Linked DNA regions of Kluyveromyces lactis. The protein of the gene in region 1 interacts with the protein of each later gene in a pairwise test. Links are inferred from orthologs where the notes say so. Each region holds a gene or a part of one and is shown in the gene's direction. Other genes may lie near its edges.

Evidence for each region.
Region 2: the proteins of TAH18 (region 1) and DRE2 interact in binary tests that used the Saccharomyces cerevisiae proteins (3 or more experiments, as listed by UniProt). The link is inferred for Kluyveromyces lactis from reciprocal best matches to the Saccharomyces cerevisiae genes TAH18 and DRE2.

What each region holds. Positions count from the first base shown.
Region 1 is NC_006038.1:1,061,500-1,065,051, reverse strand, and holds TAH18 (NAPDH-dependent diflavin reductase), read left to right. Parts: upstream 1-1,177; coding exon 1,178-3,052; downstream 3,053-3,552. Other genes in the region: MSF1 (phenylalanine--tRNA ligase), read left to right, coding at 1-819; autophagy protein ATG11, read right to left, coding at 3,054-3,552. UniProt on the Saccharomyces cerevisiae protein: NADPH-dependent reductase which is a central component of the cytosolic iron-sulfur (Fe-S) protein assembly (CIA) machinery.
Region 2 is NC_006042.1:1,504,121-1,506,816, reverse strand, and holds DRE2 (electron carrier DRE2), read left to right. Parts: upstream 1-1,164; coding exon 1,165-2,196; downstream 2,197-2,696. Other genes in the region: phosphopantothenoylcysteine decarboxylase complex subunit VHS3, read left to right, coding at 1-625; TMC1 (Tmc1p), read left to right, coding at 2,606-2,696. UniProt on the Saccharomyces cerevisiae protein: Component of the cytosolic iron-sulfur (Fe-S) protein assembly (CIA) machinery required for the maturation of extramitochondrial Fe-S proteins.

The sequences.
Region 1 (3,552 bases):
TTATTAAAGATTAAAGAAGATCTCGAGAGATTGGAGAAAACTTTGGCAGACGACCCAGTGAAACTTGTCGTGGAAGATAACGTTTCCTTGGAAGGTAATCCAAAGCAGGAATACATGACGATGGAAGAAGTCGATTTATGTTCTCGCCATTTGAAAAGATCTTTGGAGCTTGTTGTATTGGAAGTCTTCAAGAGAAAGTTGGCAAGTATGGGTAACGTGAAGGGAGAAGAGTTGAAGGTTAGATGGATTCAAGCTTATTTCCCATGGACTGCACCATCATGGGAAATTGAAGTGTTCTGGCAAAACAATTGGCTTGAGCTCTGCGGTTGCGGTCTTATCCGTGAAGACGTTTTATTAAAAGCTGGATATGAACAAAATCAAAACATCGGTTGGGCTTTTGGATTAGGCCTTGACCGCATTGCAATGCTATTATTCGAGATCCCTGATATCAGATTATTCTGGACCCTTGACGAAAGGTTCCATTCCCAATTCAAAGAGGGCACAATCAACAAATTCAAACCGTACTCTAAATATCCAGGTACCATCAGGGACGTGGCCTTCTGGCTTCCAACAGATAAGAACTTTGACATTATCCATGAGAATGATCTAATGGAAATCGTTAGAAACGTAGCAGGAGATTTGGTTGAATGTGTCAAATTAATTGATTCATTCACACACCCCAAAACCGGTAGAAAGTCATTATGTTACCGTATTAACTATCAATCAATGGACAGAAACGTCACCAACGAGGAAGTCAATGAGCTGCAGGATAAAGTTCGTGATACCCTGGTGAAACTATACGGCGTTGAACTGAGATAACCAAGATACAAAATATTATATATAAATTCGTCGTATTTACTAGTGATGCGATTTCATGTTAATAGTATAAAAAAAATTCATTTCAATATGTAACGGTTAGTGATCAATAAGATCTGTGGGTAATTAGTAACCATACAGTTCTTTTTGAACACTATCTAAGAAGAAATACAACGACACTGTCATTAATTCATCGTCTGTTCATCGTTATTATCGCATATCTCTCTTAACAGCAAGATTTCAAGGTGAAAAATACTGAGATAGCTTACATATTACATGTGATGAACATCAAAGATTATATACTGTAAACGATTCAAGACACATTTAAAGCTGCTAAGAAGTATTTCGGACTACTGAAACCATGCAGAACAAGAAGATTGTCATATTGTATGGTTCTGAGACAGGAAATGCGCAAGATTTTGCGCATATTCTTTCTCATAAGTTAAAGAGACTGCATTTCTCACATACATTGATTAAGATCGGTGATTACCATCCGAAAAGCGTTCTGCAGTGCAAGTACCTGTTTATCATCTGCTCTACGACTGGACAAGGAGAACTACCGCGTAACGCAAGAGAGAACTGTAATGGACGGGCTCAGGGGACTCTCTGGCAGTTTTTGAAGAAATCTACACTTCCTGCGGATCTTTTAGATCATGTTAACGTTGCCATGCTTGGGTTGGGTGATTCCTCGTATCCAAGATTCAACTTTGGTATCAGAAAGCTTCATGAACGTATTGTCAATCAACTTGGCGCTAGTGAGATTTTTCCACGCTTAGAAGCTGATGAGTTGGGACTTGCTGGGAGTAATAAGGATACTGGAAATGGAGTTGAATCCGTCTACTATGAATTTGAGAAAAGAATCATCGCCTACATGTTAGAGAAGTACCCCAACAGAAAGCACGATGGCAAAATGATGCCCAGAGTAGGCCTAGCCGAAGATGTTTACTTGAAACCGAGCAATATATTAGAAATATCCACTGTTAATGGATCGACAAATGATCAGCTACCTGATTCTAAGATTCAATTTGTTGGAGATGAGACAATAAGACATGGAACCGTTAAGAAAAACAACCAAATAACTGCTAAAGATCATTTTCAGGACGTTCGACAATTTGTGTTTGAAACCGAGGATCATGAAGCCTATCATCCAGGCGATACAGTTTCTTTATATCCCGAAAATTCAGACAATGACGTTGAATTATTCCTCGAAGCTCAACCTCATTGGAAGAAGGTCGCTGATGAACTTCTTACAATAACAGACCTGGAAAATTGTGATCGGTTCAGAGATGGTGGTGTTGTGAAACCACTTACTCTAAGAACCTTGTTAAAATATCATTTTGATATCGTCAGTATACCTAGGCAGAGCTTCTTCATGAAAACTTGGACTTTTGCAAATGCTCACGAAGATAGACCAACCGATCAAGAGCTATTAGAACAACAGAGGGATAAACTAAGACAGTTCGGGTATGGACAAGACCTACAGGACTTGTATGATTATTGCAATAGACCAAGAAGATCAGTATTAGAGGTTATACAGGATTTTGAATTCTTAAAACTTCCATGGGAGTTCGCATTAGATTATCTACCCATGATAAAGCCCAGATTTTATTCCATCTCAAGTGCACCATCTGATCCTAATGTTGAACTAACTATTGCTATTGTTCGTTATAAGACTTTGTTAAGAAAGGTACGGAAAGGACTATGCACGAACTACCTACTTACATTAACCGAAAACGATACAGTTCGTTATAAACTTCAAAATAATCATTTACTTCATGAAGATATTATTGGCAAACCTATCATCATGACTTCTCCGGGGGTAGGTCTCGCACCAATGAAGTGCTTGATCGAGTCTAATTTATTCAAGGATCAGTACTTATTTTTTGGTAACAGAATGAAGGATAAGGACTTTTTATATGAAGATACGTTATCTATGTGGAAGAAAGAAGGTAAAATTAATTTATTCACTTGTTTTTCGCGGGATCCCATAAATTCTCCTCATGCTAAGTATGTTCAAGATCAGTTGTGGAATCAATCTAGTCTAATAGCAGACCTAATTTTGAAAAAATCTGCCATAGTATATATTTGTGGATCCTCCGGTAAAATGCCAGTTCAGGTTAGGTTGACTATAGTTGAGATCCTGAAAAAACATGGAAACTTCGAAAACGCAGAAGAAGCCGAGCATTATCTAAAAGAAATGGAAAGAACTGACAGGTATATGCAAGAGACATGGTAGTTCAGTCAAGATTGAAAAAAGCGTCAACTTCATACCACACGGTATTTCTTGGAAACTTAAAGGGGTTCTTTGAATCATCTCCAACCACATGCTTTTCCAAGGCCGAGATTCTACCCATTGCCCATTCCCTATCTTTCAATAATTCGTAATTAGACGTTGAGTTTCTAAGAACGTATTTGATATCAGTATTTGTCGCAGTGAAAATTGCCCATACAACATGCTTCTTGGCCGAATCTTGGGTGTTAACATTGAATGTATCCGGTCTGCCATTAGCGTTGAGTGCAGGATTCCTGTTCGCTTTACTTAATGGAATATTTTCTGTGATAGAAGCAGAGCTTCCGTTAAGAATGCTAGCTGCAATATCAGACTTGACAACATTTGGACGTTGCATAACAGACTGTGTAGATGAGTTTAAATCAATGGATGAAAATGAAGAATTTAGCGACGATATTGAAGAATTTAATAGCAATTCCTGATCGTTGATTGGTAAAAAAAGAGCA
Region 2 (2,696 bases), on another chromosome or scaffold:
CGCGTGGAAGCAAAGAACGGATCCCGTATTACACATTGAACTCCGTCGTTGGGCAGACATTCTCGTAGTGGCTCCTCTTACTGCTAACACCTTATCTAAGATTGCCTTGGGCCTATGTGATAATTTGTTGACAAGTGTAATAAGAGCTTGGAATCCACTGTTCCCAATATTTTTGGCACCATCCATGGTAAGCAACAGTTATAACTCTTCCATCACGAAGAGACACCTTAACATGATTAAAGAAGAAATGCCTTGGATTACCGTATTCAAACCATCAGAGAAAGTTGTTGGGATATACGGTGATATAGGACTTGGTGGAATGATGGATGGTAATGAGATCGTAGACAAGGTGGTTATGAAGTTAGGAGGGTATCCAGAAGACGAAAACCAAGAGGAAGGCGAAGAAGATGAAGACGAAGATGACGACGATGAAGAAGATCGATCTGATAAGAAGAACTTGGATGATGATGATGACGACGATGACGATGATGATGATGATGATGATGACGATGACGATGACGACGACGACGACGATGACGAAGAGGAAGATGATGAAGTGAATGAAATCGATGAAGTCAAGAGTCTACACGAAACCGTAACATCGCCACCATCCACCGACGCATAACCCGCCATAGTCATCACAACACCAACCTTCCGATTCTAATCACAACGGTACACAAAAGCTATACATAAATGCATACATAACTATCACCCCATTGTAACATTCTAATACCAGACATACAGGTCCTTCCGGTACCGTCCATCGTATTAACCGGTTCCGGCAACCCAGCAGTTGTCTTACTAATCTAACTTTTGGCCCGTAAGTCACGTGCCATGATATACTTTCTTTTTTTTTTTTTTCTCTTGATTACTCAGGAAATCCGAAGCTTGACATCTGGAATATATTTGGAAGAACTTAATCATCTTTCTATGAGTAAGAAGTTGGAAAGATGAGTAACTGTTTTCTTATGTTCATGATAAAGAGCGGACAGCAGGACAAGTTAAGATTTTCTTTATATGGGTGCTGAACTAATATCAAGAGAATACACTACTTAGTCTTATTTCACAGTACTGTTTAATACCGGTTTATTATTGAGCTGTTCACTGTTGCTCATTTCCCCTTATACTAACTGGAAGCAGAGATAAAAGAAGGTCAAAGAAAGTATGACTGTGAGTAGAGACTCGTTGGTTTTGATCCATCCAGCTGTAACGCAACAGCCGGAGCTATTGGAAACTATTGAGAAGGGTTCAATCTTGTCTGAGACTACTATAGTTGCTCAGTATTTGATTAACAAACTAAATGATGGTACTATTTCTCCAGATGATGAGAAGTACGATGTAATATACTATGTGACTCCTGAAAAGCCAGAAGCCATTCAGTTTCCACCAAAACTAATACCTGTGCTTCACAAGACGTTGAAACCTTCAGGTAGACTATATGGATTAAGTGATACTTTGAAAGTGGATGCTTTAATTAATGGGTTTGAAATTGTTAGTAATAATGGGTCAGAGTACTATTGGGTGAAAGAATCTAGAGAGAAAAAGGCTCCAGTGAGCATATCATTAAAGGGAAACATGAAGAATGGAGCCAGTGCACCTGTTGCTTTACCAAGTTTCAAGAAGCTGAATAAAACACAACCTATTGGATCGTCACCCTCGGCAGGACTTGCGGTTAGTTTGAAGAAATTACCTACATTTAAGAAACTGACTAAAAAGGTATCCGCAATCAAGCTTACTGACTCGGATCTAGAGGACGATGACGATGATCTCGAAAGTGACGATTCTGCAAACAACTCTAAAACCAAGTTCTTTGATGATTTCGATGATCCAGAGACCGGAGACTCAATTGATGAAGACGATTTAATAGCAGAAACCGAAGAGGATACAATCACAATGATCCAGTGCGGTAAATCCAAGCAAAGAAGAAGAAAAGCCTGTAAGGATTGTTCATGTGGACTTAAAGAGATGGAGGAACAAGAAATAGAGTCAAGAAGAGCTAAGCAACAACAAGTCATTAAATTCTCGGAAGAAGAATTGACAGAAATCGATTTCACTATAGAGGGTAAAAAAGTAGGAGGTTGTGGTTCATGTGCTCTAGGAGATGCCTTCAGATGTTCCGGATGTCCATACCTAGGCCTCCCCGCATTCAAACCAGGCCAATCTATTAACTTGAACAGTATATCCGACGATTTGTGAAGGAGCCGAACTCTCATGAAACATTAAAATGGAGAACTAAAAACACTACATAGTCTGTATTGTATATACAACCCACATACCCCAAATTCAACCATTTCGCATCTTTAGATCACAGAATATTCCCTTGTGCAGTACTGATGCACTCCTAGGTCAAGATGACACATGAGACTTGCCCATTTGCTATAATGAGCAAGTCTCGAAATGCTTTTTTTCCGTGATTACTATGGCATTCAGGTATTATATAAAGAAAAGGAAAAAAGGAAAAAGGAAATAGACAGTTTCAACATAGATAAAGGCTACAGGTCGTCTTTTTTGATAAAGGTATTTTAGTCATAACAGAGGCAATAAGACCAAAACCTCCGTAATCAACTGTTTGGTTGGGTCTACTAAGGATATATACAATCTAAAGATGCCAGAAACGATAAACAATAACTTTACTGGTGAAAACAGCGAAATGAGAGCAGAACATGCAGACGAAAGTGGTGTGGCAAATGGCGGCA